Linked DNA regions of Ovis aries. The protein of the gene in region 2 interacts with the protein of the main gene of each other region in a pairwise test. Links are inferred from orthologs where the notes say so. Each region holds a gene or a part of one and is shown on either strand. Other genes may lie near its edges.

Region 1 (6,641 bases), on a different chromosome or scaffold from region 2:
GGTTGCCATGTCCTTCTCCAGGGGATCTTCCCAAACCAGGGATCGAACCCGCATCTTTTGCATTAGCAGGTGGACTTTTAAACCCTGAGCCGCTAGAGAAGCCCCACACAGGGAACTTCTGATTCACAATTATGTCAGGCCGACAAAAGGAAACTATTACCGAAATGAGCTAGTGAGGGTGCAGACTCGGTCCATATGTGAGGCAGTTGGAAGAGAACAGGTAGAAAAGGCCTTTCAAGGGGATAAAGACACTTCCTCTGCAGACACAAGTGGGAAAGGGAATATGGATCAAGATATAAGAGGGTTGTGAGACTTGATGACGGGTATCTGGCCCACCTTTTACTTTTATTTCCTCAATAAATTTTGAGGCAAAGTCATCAGCTGAAGGTAAATGGGAAAGAAACCTCGGGAGCTGGGGGTGAGAAATGAAAATCTAATTTCTGGAGCGTAGAATGAATATACTAAGCAAGTGAAACAGGATTGCCAGGGTTAATTCCAGAGTTATGTCATGAATTTATAAATGAGCATAACTATGCATTTTCCTCTTGCAACATGTGGCTGCTTAATAAAAATGACAGATTGTATAATCTAAACTAGGTTTTTAAAAAAAAAGAATATAAAAAGGAGGATGGCAGACAATGAAAACGTGATTAGCCAATGGATTGAAGTCTGCAAGGTAATAGGACAAGAGAGGGTGAGCTGGGAGGATAGGATGGGTGTCAAAAAGCAGGTTCCTTAAAACCAAGATGTTAGTGATATTGCTGTTCCTTGGTGATATTAATAATAAAGGTCAAGGGGCCATGGGAATGCAGGATCTGGAAATAACTATTATTTAAGTCACAAAATCATGGATCATAAAGTTTCAGTACTGAGGTCCAGAGAGGTGAAGTGACCTCCCAAAAGTGGTGAGGGAGAACACACCCTAAACTCTCATTATTTCCCACAAGCCCAGAGGAGAAGAGGTGACAAGCATCTGCGATATACTAATCAAAGGGAACCTTGACTTCTTGGCAGTTGCAATCTCTCTGTCACTTGATTAACTTGGAGGTCAAGTAGGAGAGGCAAGAAAAGACACACTTCTATTTTTATTTTTATATCATTATGGGAGCCAACTAGGAAACTATTGAAAAACAAAGTTACTAAGTATCTGCTCTGGGTGAACATTGGTAGCTGTTATGGTGGGGTTCTGGCAGGGAGGGGGTTATGGCTGACCTCTTCATTACAGGTCTATTGGGAGAAACCAAAGTACCAGCAGGAGGCCTGGGCAGAGGGCCCAGCTCTGCAGCAGTAGCACTGAGGGGCGGTCTGGGGGTTGTAAGCCAACAATCTCATCCTCCTGCATGCATGCCCACTGAGTCACTTCAGTCACTTCCAACTCTGCAACTGTAGCCCGCCAGGCTCCTCTGTCCATGGGATTCTCCAGGCCAGAATACTGGAGTGGGTTGCCATACCCTCCTCCTCTTCCTGACCCAAGGATCGAACCCGCATCTCTTTCGTCTCCTGCATTGGCAAGTGGGTTCTTTACCACTGGTGTCACCTGGGAAGCCCCGCATCCTAAGTAAGCATTACAAAGTATGACTGCTAGATACACACAGCTTCTAGAGAAATCCCCTACAACTCCTTGACTTCAGGGCAAGCCCTGCCCATTCAGGAGCTCTGTGCCTTGCATGACAGGGTGGCTAAAAAACCTCTGAAATGTCCTCTTGGTCTCTTCTTAGCCCACATCCCAGGTTCATGCTGGATTCTGCACTCATACAAAGGGAGTCAGCAGAGGGCCAAAGAAAAGAATAGGAAATTCCAAATTACTTCCACAGGTTTCACTGTGAGTTGGGTTGAAATTTCTTTTCTTCTTTCTCAAATCCACATCCTTAGGATTTGGCGAGCAGTAGGGGAGATGCAAGTCTATTTCCAGTGTGACTATGAAGCTGTTGAGACTGATTTCATGGCCGAGGACAGCCCCATGCTGTTTTTAGCCCCACACCAGCACTCTGGGATCATGCAGATCAGAACTGCCCACGGAGCTCCCTCTCCTGCATGTGATAGCTCTCTTTAAAACGAGATTTCTGGATCAACTCTGGTGTTCCCACAAAGGGCCATTTACATAACTGAGCAAAAAAGTGCCAAGAAATAACTGCCTTAGGCTTGCGGCTTTCTAGGAGAAATGGTCAACACTTCTTTTATTATCAGACTGAAGATGTTTTAAGATTATATAATCTCTAATAATGTTCATTTTCAATGTAACAATAATCATTGACTTCTTCTGAGGACAAAAAAAAAGAGGCAAATGGGAACCAGATCTCATTCGCCTTTAAAATTATTTGCTGCTACAACTAAAATACTCTTAGTTAAACTACTCAATTTTCCTTGAACCCTTAGAGAAGGGTGAGTAGAATTAAGAGGTGTTCACTCCCTCCAGGGCCTTTCTCAGACATGATATGTTTATGACGTATGCCTACATGCCCAGAGGTTCTGTTCTTACCACTCCTGCAGGTCAGAAACACTGGGGATCAGAGCTCTTCTAACCCGTTTCCTATAGCCTTGTTGTTGGTTTAGTCACTAAGTTATGGCTGACTCCTGTGTGACTCCATTGGAAAACTGTAGCTGGCCAGGCTCCTCTGTCCATGGGATTTCCCAGGCAAAAATACTGGAGTGGATTGCCATTTCCTTTTCCAGGGGATCTTCCCAACCCAGAGATGGAACCCGCATCTCCTAAATTGGCAGGCAGATTCTTTACCGCTGTGTCATCTGGGAAGACTTTCCTATAGCCTACTCACTGCCTAAATATTTCCACTGTTTTTCTACCCAACCACAAGTCTCAATTTTCCCTCTGAGTGCTCCTATGAGAGTAACTGTTTCCATTTAAACTATGGAAGAACAAGGAACTCACCCTTGCAGGCGCCATGTAAGTGTCCACAGAGCTTCCTAGAGAGAAGGACCCAGGGCAAGCATGCAGCTCTGGACAAGAACGAGGAAGCCCAGGAACTTCATACCCAGGACTTCCTGTCACCGGCCTGTTCTAGGCACCTAACACTCTTCAGCAGGAGCTGAGTAGGGAGAAAATGGGACTGACTTTTAAGCTCTGATTACCTGGGAAACTTTTATACCTACAGGGGCCTGAGCTGTACCAAAGACCCAGTGAATCAAAATTTGGGAAGTAGGTCTCAGGTAAATTTATGTTATAAAATCTCCAAAAGAGATTCACATACACAGGTAAGGCTGTAAATCTTTGTCTGACCTTCTCAGTACCAGGACGTGGGCCCTCAGACTTCACAAAAGATCAATGTTCCTGCCTCCCTCCTTGACTTCAGACTGAAAAGTGAGGGTGCATATGTGACAACCTTCCCTCCTTGAGGTAAGAGTGAGGACACCGATAAGATATCAAACATTGCCTGCCACTCGGGTGAAAGACCATTCTCTACTCCACTCACGTGGGGCTCCATTTGCTTTCTGATTGAGAAAAATACCCAAGGGCCAGCTCCTGAAGGAAATCTGTTTTACCCCCAATTAACAGACTTTTGATTGGCACAGTTTTGAGACGATACATTAGAAACAGCAGAGAAGTTTGCTGAGTGCAAGAAAGCTAGGGGTCTAATGACCACCCTCCCTCTACTCTGCAAAGCCAAGATAAAAAGAGGGCTCATGTCAGCTCTGTTTGAACAGGAGATGGGTGAGCTCTGAAAGCAAATTACCTGGTTCCTCCAGCGGTAGCAAAGGCACAAGATACTTCTGCTCCTAAGCAACCGATGCCTTTATTTCCTGTCATTGCTCAGGCTGGAAAAATTCAGTTCCCTGTTTCCCTTACATCACCCTCCCTGCTCCCTACCTATCTGCAGAACAGAAACTTGAAATGGTGTCCTGGCCCTTCCCTGATGCTATCTCACACACAGACAAAAATTCTCCGCGAGACCCAGCCCTGTTCTTTTGGGGTATGAGGAAAGGAACACGATCTAGAACGCCATCTGTCATCCTGAAATAGCCAATAGTGGCACTATTTTTACCCAGCAATTATCAAACAAATGGAGTCATTTGAAAGAGTCACAGCTGTTCCTCTGTGTTATCTCAGTACAAATATGACACAGTGCAAGTTGATTTTGGTTTCAGCTTCGTGTCTCATGTACACCAAGCAAGTGTTAATTTCTCAACCTCCCAGAAGAACACAAGTCAAAGTGTGTACTCCACAACTGAGTCATTCGTGCAAATTAAAAATTCCTTGTTATCTTGATTATATGGGTCAGGATTTCACTAAATGAGAACATCATTCCAAAAATGAAGGCAATGAACTCCCTATTTCAGAGTTAGTGTCAGGAAATTTTTTAATCTCACAGAAACATCAAGTTTTCTCCTGGCTAAATATGACCGAAAAGAAGGATTGGTACTTTTGAAATGTGTGTGTCAGCCCTTCCAACAAAAAAGCAAAATTTTGTAAAAATCAATCCTACTTTCCTATGATTGAGCTTCATCATAAAGTCAAAGAGATGTCCTATTGAAATAAATGTCTCTAGGATACTGAACACACACATTCATACACACGTGTGTGTACACACACACACTCAGACACCCAGGCAACTCTCTCCAACATTTATTGTTCTTTTTGTCCACCTGCATCCTAACCCCCTTCCTATGGATGGAGAATTCCCAGCCTAAGGAGGCAGTGCTCTCCCACAATGAGAGTGAACATGCCGAAGACTTGCTTTCCCAGCTTCCTTGCATTGGTCAATCAATCAGACAAGCCCCAAAGTACAGAGCTCACCAGAGCTCCCTCCGGGCACAGAGATGCTACAAGAAATACGAGTCCCTGCAGCAGCAGATGCCCTTGCATGCAGGCATGGCTGCAGCAGCAGGGCTGATATGGGCATGCAGTGTTCAGTACCAAGGGCATCTGGGGTGCAAGCTGAAGCCTCTAACACTGTGCAGTAAGAGGAGTGTCCACCAGACTAGCTCCGCAGGCTGAATCCCCAGCCCACCCAGAGACCCTGTGAACCAGGCAACACCCTTTCAAACCAGCATTCTGGTTAATTGCTACAAGCAAGGACCTTAAGTTGAAGAGTTTTTTTTTCCAATGGTTTAACCATGTGGATACCAATAATCTGCTTGGAATTGTTATCCTTCAAAATTTTCCAGTTCTTACCCAGTTCCTAAGTCTATTTCATGCATACTCAATTCACAGACATTTCTCTAACCTCTGATAACTTCCTGATTTTCTCATTTTCAACTAGGAAAGTAATTGAAAGTAGAAAGATATAAATCATAGGAGGAAGGTGCAGGCTGACACAACCACCTTCTTAAAAAAGTATTCCCCAAGGAATCAAGAAGGCTAACTCAGACATTGTGACATGCTGGCAGACCTCATCAGTTTCGAGAAGTGCCTCTTAAACTTTACTGTGCTTATGGACCTCATGGGGGTTGTGTTTAAATGAACACTGATTCAATAGCTCAGAGACTCCACAGGCCTCCTAAGCTCCCAATGAAGCCCATGCTGTGGGTCCACAACCCTACTTGGGATAGTAAGGCTGACAGGGACCTAGGAACTCCTCCTAAGTCACCAAATAAAACTATCCCAGGCCAAAAAAAAAAAAAACCAATACATTTTCTCTTCGTTTTCTAGAGCTCAATTCCGTTACCTCTCCTTTTAATTTTATATTTAGAGTAAAAAGACTTAAAGTGACAATACATCTCATCATTTGGTTCATGACCCACACCAAATGAAAAAATTTCCATGTGCCAAGTGTTAGAACATATGAAATACATTAGATCTTGCTTCAGTGGTTCTGAAAATATTCATTCTATAAAACTAGCCCATTTAATGCAAAGGCCACTCAGGCTTTCAGTTTGGAACCTACATATTAAATGGTATTAGAAATCTCTACTGTTTTACCATTTCCAAGATTCTCACTTAAGTGGCCTTTAATTTTTTTCAAATGTATATTAAAATATAAAGACACATCCTGGAAGCACAGTAAATCCCATAGTAACAAAGGTATAGGGATACAAAGAAGAAATATTCTCTGTATGTATCTCACTCAGATGTAAAATATATATGTATTATCTCACTTTTCACTGATGTACTTGATAGAGTTTAAAATAAATAAATAAATAAACAGCAATGTCTTTAAAAATGGAAGGCTTGTTTCTTTCCAATATCAACAAAAACATCTTGCAACATGTAACGCAAGTCGAGTTCATATCCACCATCCTCCTTAGAGCTCATACACCACTTCAGCAGCTTTTATACCCAAAACTGTCCACCGTATTTTTCTGATCATTCATCAATGTCCTTTCTGAAGGCAGAATGTATTCTACTTTACTTGTAACACTGATAACTCATCATTAAACATGTCTAAAATTTCACAATACATAAGAAAATCAAAAGGGGGCCACAATCTTCCCCTACCTCCAGCCCCCCGCACATCTAGATACAATGTAGTCAGCCTATAACTGCCTGGAAAACCACAGAGTAGCTAGGAGCATCTTACTTTTAACTCTCCTAACATGAAATTCTATCTTTTTATATTATGATGGACAGCTTGGATTAAGGTTCAAAAACAGGAAATAGTTCATAAATTAGGGACATTTTATCACTTCTGTTATGAATATTAATCCTTCTTGTGTTGCAAGGGATTACCTGTCCCGTTTGCCCTCTT
Region 2 (6,641 bases):
GTTTAGTTATTATTGAGGAATCTGTTTTAAAATTTTTAGTTTGGCATTACATCTCCTGCCTCCAAATTCTATACTAATATTTCTCTCTTCCTACTCTTCCCAATTCTTCTAAAAACAAACAAACTCCAATCAACTCATAACAATTTTCTAAAAATAAAGCTAAAGTTCATCTCTGTGGGACTATTAAGCTAGGTCTTGAATGTACTGTTGATAACTAACTAATAACTAACCTGATCAGGTAACAATGCCAGGAAATCTAGTTTTACCTTTGCTTGTTTTTAAGAATTAAATCTTGTTTCCCATTGACAGAAAAGAGAGTTCTTATACACTCTCATGCCTACCTCCCAACCAATTTCCCCTATAACTAACATCCTGCATTAGGCTTGTGGTAGGCTTGTTACAACTGATGAACCAATATTGATTATATTACTCACTGAAGCCCACAGTTTACATTAGGATTCCCTCTTTGAACAGTTGTGAGTTTTGCCAAATGTATGTCATGTATCCATCATGACAGTGTCATACACAACAGTTTCACTACCCTAAAAATCTCCTGTGTTCCCCCTCTGTGTCCCTCCTCCGTCCCCCCAATCCTCGCTTTTCCTTTTTAATTACCCCAATTGAGGGTAGTATTAGTTGAAGCTAAGAATTTGCTTAAGTAATCCATGATTCTCCATGGCAATCAACATTTCTTAATCATCAATTTAGACTAGCACTGTCAAACAGAAATAAAATATAAGCCACATATATATTTAAAATTTTCTAGATGCAGTATTAAAAAGAACAAGTAAAACTAACACATTACACTTATCCCAATATATCCAAAATGTTATCAATTCCAGTATAACCACTATAAAAATTGAGATACTTAATTTTTTTTGTACTCTCAAAATATAGTATGCATTTCAATCTTACAGCACATCTCATTTCAAACGACTCATATTTCAAGTGCTCGGTAGCCAGGAGTAGCCAGTGACTAAGGACTTGAATAGTGCAGGCCTAGACTGAGAGCAACTTGAAAGCAAGCTATCCTCCTCTCTCCAGGGCCTCTAGAATAGACAGGAAGGGGATATTTTTGGAAGATATTCAGTACATCAGAAAGACAAAAAGGACTCTCTAAACCTCTGGATGCTGATACTTAAATGTTCTGCAGTCACTTTCTTTAAACTCTCCAGTTCTGGAAAAAGTGGAATGGGGATTATACTCATTTTGATATATCAAAGAAATGAGTATGTATGTATCCTGACTCCCAGAAAGCCTGAATCATCCAGAATGTTGACTCATGGGCCTAAGGTGACTGAAATACAATGTGAATCAAATTTGCCTTCCAAGGCATCCTTCTCTTTCCACTTTCCTCTCTCTCCTCCCTCTTTTGGGTGACTCATCCTTCTACCAGTTAAGTCCAGCAGCGTGCAGATCCCAAAGCCCTCTTTGAAGAAGTACAGACTCATCAAATGGTCTGTTCCAGTCAGTCCCTATATCGTCTAGCCTAGTTGTTTTGCCTACCTCATCCAGGGTCTGCAGTTAAGACTGGGAGTGACTTTAAACCTGTAAAAAATATTATTTTTTCTTTTAAGGTGGTGATGGTGATCCCCTTAAGGTGATAAGGTGGCTTGGGAATTTAAGTTTGAAAGAAAACAAATTTTCATTTCGAAATTTACAATTTAACGTTTGCTTCAATCCTTAGGGCCTACTCCACAGTACCGTTATTCATAACCTTCCTGCGCTCTGGGTTTTTTCCTTTCCTGGGAGGAAAGTTTCCACTCCCAGTCTCCAAGATAACGCCCTTCCGGTGGCGTGCCAGGAACGTCTCCGACCCCTCAGTGCTGGGAGGGAGTCGTTTCGTTTTCTCAGTGCTGTAAACACACAGACTCCAGCTTCGCCAGGGCCAAGACCAAGACCCCAGCCGGACCCGCAACTACCCTAGGCAGTCGGTGGGGTTCCCAGCTCCAAACCCCGCCCATCGAACCCACCCGAGCCGGTAAGAGAGAGGAAGTGCAGTGAGACCCACCCACTTTCGTCTTTTTCCTTTTCTGTTGGGCCGACTGGTTGCCCGTCAACTCTATTTCTTCGCCGATTGGCTCACTCCCTCCCGCGTTAGTGCCTCCCTCTCCCTGGCTGGGAGGGTGTCACGCCAAACTGGGCGGAGCGTCGGCTGGCCTCTCTCCTTCTCTCATCTGGGCGGCGGCGGCGGCAACTGGGGACGGGGCGGGTGGCGCATCACGGGCGCGGAGGCTGGAGGAGCAGTCTCATTGTTCCGGGAGCTGTCGCCACTGCAGGTCCCTCGGCTCGTTGGGCCCTGCCCCTCTCAGTCCTCCCCGCCCCCCACAACCGCCCGCGGCTCTGAGAAGAAGCTTCTCCGGCGGAGGCAGCAGCTGCAGCATCACCTCTGACCTGCCAGCCATGGAAGACATGGACCAGTCGCCTCTGGTCTCCTCGTCCTCGGACAGCCCGCCTCGGCCTCAGCCCGCATTCAAGTACCAGTTCGTAAAGGAGCCCGAGGACGAAGAGGAAGAGGAGGAGGAGGAAGACGAGGACGAGGACGAGGACCTGGAGGAGCTGGAGGTGCTAGAGAGGAAGCCCGCCGCCGCGCTGTCGGCGGCCCCGGTGGCCGCAGCCGCCGCCACCCCGGCTAGCGCGCCCCTGCTGGACTTCGGCAATGATTTCGTGCCCCCGGCGCCCAGGGGGCCACTGCCGGCCGCGCCTCTCGCCGCTCCGGAGCGGCAGCCGTCTTGGGACCCGAGCCCCGTGTCGTCGTCGGTGCCCGCGCCGTCCCCACCCTCCATTACAGCAGACTCGCACTCCAAGCTCTCTGAGGACGAGGGGCCTCCGGCCCGGCCTCCCCCTCCTCCACCGGCCGACGTGAGCCCTCAGGCCGAGCCCTCGTGGACCCCGGCTGCCCCAGCCCCCGCCGCGCCCCCCTCCACGCCGGCCGCGCCCAAACGCAGGGGCTCCTCGGGCTCAGTGGGTGAGTGCCGCGCCCTCCGCCTCGCGCCGCCCCTCGCGCCCCTCCCTCTTTTGTGCGCAGCCCCTAAAGCCTGGACCCTGCCCTTCTGTCCATCCGGAGGGGGCTTTGTCTGCAGATCTTTGGGCGAAGGCGCCCCCGCTGGTGGGAGCCGCGGGGAGCAGGGTGGGGCGGCAGAGGAAGCTCCGGCTTACTCTTTATTGTCCGTCTGGGTATCGGGGAGCACGTGCGCCCCGACCGCTCCCGGGTTGTTCTGTCTGCTCTCCATTCCACCGGGTCGGGGAAGTTAGGAACCCACCCCTTGCAGGAACTGGGTCTGTAATGAGGGAACTAGGGGTGTGGATTCATCGGGCTGCCTTGGTTCCGGGATGAGGATGGAAGGCCTTGGCGCCCTAATCTTTTGTCTGCCCAACTAGGTTGCTCCTGAGGAAAAGACGCAGTTTCTTGCTGGTCTTTGCCTGCATTCAGCCCTGGCCCCTCTCCTCACCCCTTCCTTGGCTTGGGTGGCCCCATGCTCTTCATCTCCCCCGCCCCGGCCCCGCGCTCGTGGGGAGCCGGTCCAGTGGAAAACGTCCACATTGACCTGACTGCAGTGAAGGGACAGCGCCTCCAGTGGTGTGACGCGTGGAGAATTGCGGAGCGGAGTTTCGGCGAGGTCCTGCCACCGCCCAGTTTACCCGGGTTGTGATGTGGCTATTTACCACCAGCTTAACGGCGCCGGGGAAATGGGACCTGGGCACCGTGTTCCAAGGGGGCGCAGTTCTGCCGGGAGCTCTGCCGCAGAAGGAGGGGAACAGTTGTTAGGATGCACAGGTTTAGTCTCAATGCATCGTAATTGAATCGTAGAGATAAAAGGAAAAGGCAAAATGGTTGACATTCCCAAAGAAGGGGAAACCTGTGGATTCCCTGGCGGGAAGAGGACAGTTGAACTTCTGGCAGATTTACCATGGGACTTCATGAAATGTTTTCAGACAGACGTTTTCATCTGTTGGTTAGAAATACTGTTTCGTAGAAGTAATATATTTTAGGGCTGCAGAGACAGATTTGCATTGTCCGTAAATAGTTTTCAAATCTTTTCATTTACCAGCACCTGATTGTTATTACTGTTATTAGGAAAAATTGTTTTATTATCCTTTTCATTTTGGGAGATTGTTTATTTTGGAAGAGAAAAAAGTTTGTTAGAGGTTGAGAATTCATCCTATTAGACACGTTAATTAACTTATTAACAAGTAGCTTGTTAGTTTGGGGACAGAAAGCGTCGCACTAGAAGTAGGACCTTTATGTGTAAATAGGCAAGGATCAAGAATCAGGTAGTGTAACAGTCTGGTGAGAAATTGTCATAGCCTTGTAGGATTTTAGAGCCGGTTGTTTTTCTAGAAAAAGATACTCAGTGGGAGATCATGGAAGAATTTTCTTTTCTTCGGCTCACTCCTGCACCACAAGGAAGAAAAATAAGTCAATAGTGATATCGACATACCCCACAGCATTACTCAAAACATTAATTACTACACTACAGATAATTAGAATGTGAGAAGTAACTCAAGTTTTCCTTTTTATGAGTGAAAACACATTTCGAGAAACTAAAGTAAGGTGGAAAAATATCAAGTAATAAGACATTTACAAATGATAAATTTAATGATTAAGAAAAGCAAACTGATTTTTCATATTGTATTCCTGTGTGGCAACAAAAGAGTTCTGTGCTTTGAACCTTGGAGAGTCAGGAGGTGACAGCATTCTTTCTGTATTTTGACTTTAGGAATACTAACTTTGGAAGACAAAGGAGAGAATGTTGAGTCACTTAGCGATTCTATCTTTACATGGCTCCCTAATTCTGTATTGATGTTGCCTATCTAGAAATTTTAGTTCCTTTAGGACATAAAGGAACACTGTGATTATGGTCAGATAGTTAAACCATGTCACTGAGTCTGGCTTTCTTAACAGTTCTTTCCTGCAGCTGGTTATTGATTTACCTACAGAGGCACTATTCTAGGCTAGGAAAATAGAGCAGTCAGCAAGACAGATGTGTTCCCCATGAGAGGAGTACCGATAATAAACACCTGATTAAGGAACTGAGACTAGTGTTAAGTGTTATGAGCAGCATAGGAAGGATGATGTGGAAAATTATTGAGATGTGTGGGAACCTTTTTACATAGGGTGGCACTGAGAAAGGCCTTTCTGAGGAGGTGAGATTTAAGCTGCAGATATAAAAAATTTCCAAGAAGCTCCTGGGAGGCAAAAGCCCTGCGGCAGTAATGTATGTTTGAGAAGCTCGTGAGAAGACTAGTAAGAAAGCTAAGGAGAGAGTGGGGTGGTAGACTATACTTAGGTCATTTGAGGTCTCTAATAGGCCATGGTAAACATTTTCGCTTTTTGAAAGATTGTTTATTTTAGAAATGTGCTCCTTAATTATATTGGGGTTTTGGAGCAGAAATACAGTTTTGAAGATTGAGAGAAACTAAAAGGATGGACGTGAGTAAAGACAAAGAGGTGGGAAATGTGCAGAGCATAGTTAGAAACATAGATCAGTCTGACTGGAGGACAGTTTATGTTACTGCATATGGTAGATCCCTGACACTTGTGTATTTCGTATTGTTGTTTAACCTCTTCTTGAGTAAGTGCTGATTTCCCTTATTTGAGAAATTGTGATTTTGCTGTTTGCTGTTATATCAGTGCTTGGAGCATCGCCATGCTGAAAGACTGAAGTCTTTCCCCTGCTGAGTGTTTTTCATGGAGAAACATTGGCTTCAGGTTAAAATGATGGTTGTTTAACGTAGGCTTTGAGAACATGCAAGGGAAACCAGATAGAAATTTGAGTTGAGAGATGCAGACCATTCATTAAGGATGGAGTTGAGCTGATCTCTGGACATATTCTTTAAACCAGTAAAATGTGTGGTAGATCTGGATTCTGAAACGTGTCGGATGCCAAGTTAAGGATATAGGGTTTTATCATCCTGCTTTTATTCATGTTCTGCCATCCATAGTTGCCCTTGCACTTGGCAATTTAAATTATGAGGCAAAAAATGTTTTCGTTGTTTTTTTCAAAAATATGATATTATTTCATTATTTATTATCCTTTTCCTGAATTACTGCTTTCAGCATTGGGAAGCCATCAAAAATTATTGAACTGAGGCATGGAATAATGAAAGCAGTGTTAGAAAAGTGAATTGGCAATTTTCAAGATAGGTTGGAAAGAGAAAATGGAAACTATTTAGAAATCTTTCACAGTAGTTCTGAGAGAGGTGAGTAGAGCCTGCACTCGTTCATTTAGTGGAAATGGAGTATAGGGAGGAATATAAGAAACTTTAGGAAGGATGAGTTTTTTGGCTCTGAGTCTCTGTTTTTATAGTTAGGTTAAGAAGTTTTATGAAAGAGAACTGATAGGACTTGGAGGCCATGGATACAAAGAATAGAATGTTGGTGGTTTTAAATCATTTTCAGAGACTATCCAAAGTTGTTGAAATGGAAATTCGTATAGATTTGGATATTGCTTATAAGTACAGCATAAGTACTGCTCATTATATGGCTTAAGGATTAAAAATAATTAGTCATTTTTACAGTCATTTATTATTATATCAGTATAGAAGCACATGATAGGAGTATTAAAAGATTCTGAGTGATATATAGTTTATATAGTTTAAATATTAGTCTTTAACATAAAGTTCAAGTGAACAGTGAT
Region 3 (6,541 bases), on a different chromosome or scaffold from region 2:
AAGTTGGTCAAATGGAACCACAGATAAATAAAGATCAAGAGTCCAGGAGCCCAAATGAGGAACCAAATAAGGATGATATAACTGCCTTGGATGCAGATGACAAGTTCACTGTGCTGACAGCCCAGAAGCCAGCCACCCAGCAGCCTAAAGCAGAAGGCATTTGTCCGTATTCCTTGTCTCCTTCTGAAGCTTCAGGAGGTGGTGTTATGGAAAAGGATTCCCCTGAATCACCATTTGAAGTAATTATTGACAAAGCAGCATTTGACAAAGAATTTAAAGACTTATATAAGGAAAGCATAAATGATTTTGGTAGCTGGGCAGTGCATACTAGTAGAGAATCACCTGCAGACATTTCAGAGTCTAATGACAAAGTATTTCCACTGAGAAAGAAAGAAGCAGGGCGTTACCCAGCCTCTGCATTGCTCACCAGGCAGTTTTCACACACAGCTGCAGCATTGGAGGAGGTATCTAGATGTGTGAATGATATGCATAGCTTTACTAATGAAGTACTGACTTGGGATTTGGTTCCCCAAGTGAAACAGCAGCGTGATAAAGCTGAGTACGACACAAAAACTACAGGACTTGGCACAAGTGAATATAATTCAGAAATTCCTGTTGTAAATCTTAAAACAAACACTCAGAAAATTCCTGTATGTTCTATTAATGGAAGCACTGCTGACACTAAATCACCAGGTGACTGGGCGGAAACACCTCTCCCACAGGAAAACGCCGTGCCAGACCATTTTGATTCCACACAGGAAGTCACTATCAAAGGTGTGCAAGACAGCGTGCAGAAAAGAGACGACACACTTTCAGAGTCACCTGGCTCTCCACTGCAGAAATGTGTCTCTCTTGGTTCTGGAGTGGCCACAGATAAAGTAGTTTTACCCGACAGCCACCTGAAAGGTGGAATGAGCTGGCAGACCTCTGTGTTGGGAGAAGTGACAGAGGCTGATAGTTCTGGTGAATCTGATGACACAGTAATAGAAGACCTCACAGCAGATAATTCATTTGAGAGCAACAAAATTCAGGCTGAAAAACCTGTTTCCATCCCAAGTCCTGTTATAAAAACAGATGGAGAAGTCAAAGAGATCCTCAGTTGTAACAAGAAAGACAGAACATCTGAAAAATTTGAAGGGTCGGTCAGTGACTCTGAGCCACGACAAGTTCGGCCTGATCCTCTTGAAAGGAGCCCAGGTGAAGCAGTGTGTTCACTAGTATCTAATAAGAATGGCACGCCAGAAGTGAAGCAGTCAGGTAGTAAGCATGAAGCTGTTCCTGAAAAGCCTGTTGCAGCTGAGAACCCAAAACTCCCTTCAGAAGCAGCTCCTACAGAACTCACACAAAGTGGGACAAGCTCTGCCTATTTGGAGTCATTGCATGAAAAAAATATGAAAGATCCAGATGATTCTTCCCCAGAGGACCTGATGGCGGCCTTTACAGAAACCAGAGAGAAAGGAATAGTAGGTATAGGTGAAGGCAATACCTTTGAAGCAACATCAGAGGAGACTAAGGACTTTAAAACAATTCTTCCTCTAGATGTTTTGCATGGGAATAAGTCAGGTGGTTCTGAAATTAAAAACAAAGAAAGCAAATACAGTGAACAAAGCAAAGAAATAAATGGGAGTAAGCTTCTGGAAGTTTTCCCTACCCAAGGTACTCCAATAGCATCTCTCGACTTAGAACAAGAACAGCTCACAATCAAAGCACTTAAAGAACTGAGTGAAAGGAAGGTGGAGAAGTCAGCTTCTGTACAGGATAAAGGAGACTCTCCTGAAGAAATATTCAAACAGACTTTAACAAATGTTAAAGAATCTTCCTGGCCACAGAGATCAGCTGATGTCCTAGAACACAAAGATGTCGAGACTGGATCTGATCTTGAGATTTCCAGGAAGCCCACTGTTATCAAGGAAACTACTAGGGTAGAGGCTATTTCCAGCCTTAGCAAGACTGAGCCGGTAAACGAGCCTGTCCTAACAAGACTTCTGACAGACGTGTCAGGTAACCACTTACGTTAGAAATACTGCATGTGGGGAAAAAAAGAAATATTGCATGTGGTTAATTCAGCTATGATTGATTATTTAGAGGGCCATTTTTCTTAGTCTCTGATTTATATCACTAAATTATAGCTAGAATAAAATATACTATATAATGGGGAAAGGTAGATTTTTTTTTTTAATGGTTGTTTGATTTGGTTTTCTTATACAAATGTTTCCCAAAGCAGGAGACTACTTGTTAAAATTAATATTCTCCTAAAGGAAAAAAATGTCATGGTCCAGTTTTTTCATTATACGTTGACTGTAGGGGAGATTGCTGCTTTTAAGACTATCACTAGGCTCTTATTTGCACAGATTAATATAAAATCTCCGTAATAGTAGCACTGCTTAGCCCTTAGGTATTTTGCTTAGCCCTTGTAAAATCTATTTAGCAATCAAAGAGAAAGGAATTCCTGCTGGGAAGATAATAAATGAAACTTTTAATTAATTTGATCTTATACCACAGAGATTTTATGCTCTGAAAGTAGGTAACCAGTACTGTAGTGCAGTCGTGCCAGTGATGCTTTAGGAGAACTCGTGCATTGTTCTACTTTGGACCTTGTTGACATTCTTCAGGTCAAAACTCTTTGCATGGTACTAGAAGCCCTTCTGCTTGTCTTCTGCTTATTTGAGTGATTACTTTCCTAGCTGTTGACCGTCATTTAAATTACTTCAGATGCTCTCTGTTCTGGTGTCTTAGTGTAATGAAAAAAAGATCTATAAAGCCTCCAGAATCAAGCCCCAACCTCTAATCTGATATGAGGTTCTGCACTTGGTGTATGATCAGTGTGGTCAGAGTTAGGTGCTATGCAGGGCCCTGTGGTTTTCCAAACTTCTTAACCAATAGATTCCTCTTTCAAATGAAATCAGACACAGAGTTATAATATTTAAAAGAAAATGAGATTTTTGTTAAGAGAAACTTTTTAAATGAGGTTGTACCATATTTTTTTCCCCTGTAAAGGTTTTATTATGCACAGAATAAGAAAGGGGCTCAGTCCTTTGCAGCCACTTCCCTCCGGTCACTTCTTCCAGCCAGGGTACCACTAACTTGCTTGCTTGGTTAGGTTACCTGCTGGGATCTGTGGGTCACCTGGAAGTCCACAGCCATAGGCTGCTGCAGAACCATGACTGCTGCCCATCATAGCCTGCGGCAGAAAGGCACCATTTACTTCTTATTTTATAAAGGTATTTCCTTACCAAAGACCATGGACAGGTTATTTAACCTTACTAAATCTTAATCCTTAAAATAGAGATAATAATGGTACTTACTTTATAATAATGTGAAGATTAAAAGTGTAAATGCAGGTTATAAAGGGCCTAAGTTTATTCAGTTCAGTCACTCAGTCGTGTCCACCTCTTTGCAACCCCATGGACTACAGCACGCCAGGCTTCCCTGTTCATCACCAGCTCCTTGATTCATCAAACTCATCTATCAAGTTGGTGATGCCATCCAGCCATCTCATCCTGTCATCCCCTTCTCCTGCCTTCATTCTTTCCCAGCATCAGGGTCTTATCTAATGAGTCAGTTCTTCGCATCAGGTGGCCACAGTATTGGAGCTTCAGCTTCAGCATCAGTCCTCATGAATATTCAGGATGAATTTCCTTTAGGATTGACTGGTTTGATCTCCTTGCAGTCTAAGGAACTTTCTAGAGTCTTCTTCAACACTGCAGTTGAAAAGCATCAAATTCTTCAGTGCTCAGCTTTCTTTAGAGGGCCTGCTGCTGCTGCTATGTCGCTTCAGTCGTGTCCGACTCTGCGACCCCGTAGGCGGCAGCCCACCAGGCTCTCCTGTCCCTGGGATTCTCCAGGCAAAAACACTGGAGTGGGTTGCCATTTCCTTCTCCAGTGCATGAAAGTGAAAAGTGAAAGTGAAGTCGCTCAGTTGTGTCCAACTCTTAGCAACCCCATGGACTGCAGCCTACCAGGCTCCTCTGCCCATGGGATTTTCCAGGCAAGAGTACTGGAGTGGGGTGCCATTGCCTTGGGCCCAGTATATAGTAAATATTCATTTAGCAGCAAGTACAGGACCTGGCATATAGTAGGTCCTGGATCATTATTTGTTACTGAATGCATTGTTATTAATTATCTGTGAAAACACTGAGGCTTTTTTATAAACTCAAAAGTGTGAAATGGCAGTTAAGGATAGCTGTTATACTCTAGAAGTTGAAGATAGTTGAACTTGGATTAAAGAGACCTGAATCCATATTGTTGCTTTACACTGTCTAGAAATGTGACTTTAAACAATTAAGTTATATCACCTTTTGGGGCTTTAGTTTCCTTATCTATAAAGTGAGGATGTTGAAGTAGGTGATCGTCAATACCGTTTCTCTGACCCTGGTAAATACTAGTTTTCTTCATGACTTCTTGTCAAAATTCTTAAACATAGGTTTTTGAGGTGATGAGGTGTATAGAAATTAGGTGGTAACAATCCAGTGTCTAATTCTGGCAAATTCCTGCTTTAATGTGACCTTTGACAATTAGCCAAATTGGTTTGGCATCTTGCTTTGTTAATATTGTGGTATTTTGCCCTTCTTCATAGTGAAGAAGAAAATGGCAACCCACTCCAGTACTCTTGCCTGGAAACTCCCATGGACGGAGGAGCCTGGTGGGCTGCAGTCCATGGGATCAGGACTGATCGACTTCACTTTCACTTTTCTCTTTCATGCATTGGAGAAGGAAATGGCAACCCACTCCAGTGTTTTTGCCTGGAGAATCCCAGCGACGGGGAAGCCTGGTGGGCTGCTGTCTATGGGGTCGCACAGGGTCGGACACGACTGAAGCGACTTAGCGGCAGCGGCAGCATGGTGTTACTTTTTGCAACCCCATGGACTGTAGCCTAACCAGGTTCTCCGTCCGTGGCGTTTTCCAGGCAAGAATACTGGAGTGGGTTGCCATTCCCTTCTCCAGGAGATCTTCCCGACCCAGAGATTGAACCCAGGTCTCCTGCACTGTAGGCAGATGCTTTACCGTCTGAGCCACCAAGGAAGATCCTGTAGTAAATAAAGTACTACGTAAAGGCTAATTATTAGTAAATCTCAACTGAGTTATTTAATCTAGTGTGAGAGATGAAAAGGACTATGGAAGTTTAAGTCATTTTGTCACTGACCAAATTCTATGATTAATAGACATTTTTAGATGATAATGAAAACTAGTATAATTAGACCAAGAAGCTAAAAGTTCTTCCTTTGAAGGTTTCAGAATTAAAAACCTTTTAAAATTGTCTTATATCATGAATAAATCTTTTAAGATGTAAATTTTACTAATATATACCAGCATCTAGCTCTAAGCAGTGTATCTGAGCAGTCTTCATTTCTAAAGTAAAACCAATTCTGTAATTATATTCTGCCTAAAGTTGTTGGGGAAAATAGGCAAAGGAAGCTATGAAAAAATTAATGGTATTTTATTTTTCTTTTGCTATTCTGTGGTATATATGACAGTATATAACAGACCTGGAAATGACCTAGCAATTTTGTTTCTAGTTACGTATTCTAAGGGGAAAAGAAATTTATGTGCAAAAGCAACTATAGAGATATTCTTTGTAGTGGCGGGTATCTTAGTGCCTTAACAATTAAAGATTGTTGGAGTGTGTAACATATCTGTACCGTTAAGTGTTATATAGCCTTTGGAGTAGTTATAGGTTGATGTGAAGTACAAAAAGAAATACACTTGTATTTCTGTATATTAGAATTAACTTCTATTGTTAATTAATATTTGCTTTCGAACTAAAGGACCCTTTGATTACCATCTGACCCATTTCCCCAGAGGGAAATTATCTTATAGTGTTGTGTTAGTTTCTGCTCCACTACATTTTAAATGTATGCATATATGGTATTTTTTGTGCTTTTAAAACTTTATTAATTTTATCTTTGTTGGGGTTTCCCTTGTGGTCCGGTGGTTGAAAATCTGTGCTTCCATTGCTAGGAGCATGGGTTTAGTTCCCTGGTGGGGGAACTAAGATCCTTCATACCATGCAGAGCTCACCCCCAAAATAAATTAATATTATCTTGTTATACAACTTGTTTCATTCAACATTAGATTTTTTAACTCTTTTCATGTGGAGGTATCTGTCATTTTATTTATTTTAATAGCTGTGTAGTAACTCATTTTATTACTATATTATTTTTCTTTTAACTAATATTTGGGTTATTTTCTATATTTTACTATTATTAGACATTGCTGAAGTTAACATCCTGTACTCATCTGTTTTTATACAGATGCACATGTTTCTCTTGGGTCCGTATGTCACTGCTTATCAATTTCACTTTCTGTGTATGTGCTTTATTTTTCTAGTTACTATCAATTTGCTGTCAAAGTTGGAGTTTCTCCTGTTATGCAAAAATGTTCATAGTTTATTAATAAAAACTATTATTTAACACTAGAATTTTTATTATATGATGAATACTTAAAGTAGAAAAAAGTTAAAAAACAAGGTTTTCGGAATAATACTTATTTTCATGTCATTATAAGTGAATCTGTATGCCTACACACAGTGTGATTCTGAAGT

What was found.
Region 1: the proteins of RTN4 (region 2) and SYT16 interact in binary tests that used the Homo sapiens proteins (3 or more experiments, as listed by UniProt). The link is inferred for Ovis aries from reciprocal best matches to the Homo sapiens genes RTN4 and SYT16.
Region 3: the proteins of RTN4 (region 2) and RTN3 interact in binary tests that used the Homo sapiens proteins (3 or more experiments, as listed by UniProt). The link is inferred for Ovis aries from reciprocal best matches to the Homo sapiens genes RTN4 and RTN3.

Annotation. Positions count from the first base shown.
Region 1 is NC_056060.1:72,053,243-72,059,883, reverse strand, and holds the start of SYT16 (synaptotagmin-16), read right to left. Parts: upstream 3,837-6,641; 5' UTR 3,690-3,836; intron 1-3,689. UniProt on the Homo sapiens protein: May be involved in the trafficking and exocytosis of secretory vesicles in non-neuronal tissues. Is Ca(2+)-independent.
Region 2 is NC_056056.1:68,963,031-68,969,671, forward strand, and holds the start of RTN4 (reticulon-4), read left to right. Parts: upstream 1-2,193; 5' UTR 2,194-2,403; coding exon 2,404-2,968; intron 2,969-6,641. UniProt on the Homo sapiens protein: Required to induce the formation and stabilization of endoplasmic reticulum (ER) tubules. They regulate membrane morphogenesis in the ER by promoting tubular ER production.
Region 3 is NC_056074.1:38,529,060-38,535,600, forward strand, and holds part of RTN3 (reticulon-3), read left to right. Parts: coding exon 1-2,001; intron 2,002-6,541. UniProt on the Homo sapiens protein: May be involved in membrane trafficking in the early secretory pathway. Inhibits BACE1 activity and amyloid precursor protein processing. May induce caspase-8 cascade and apoptosis.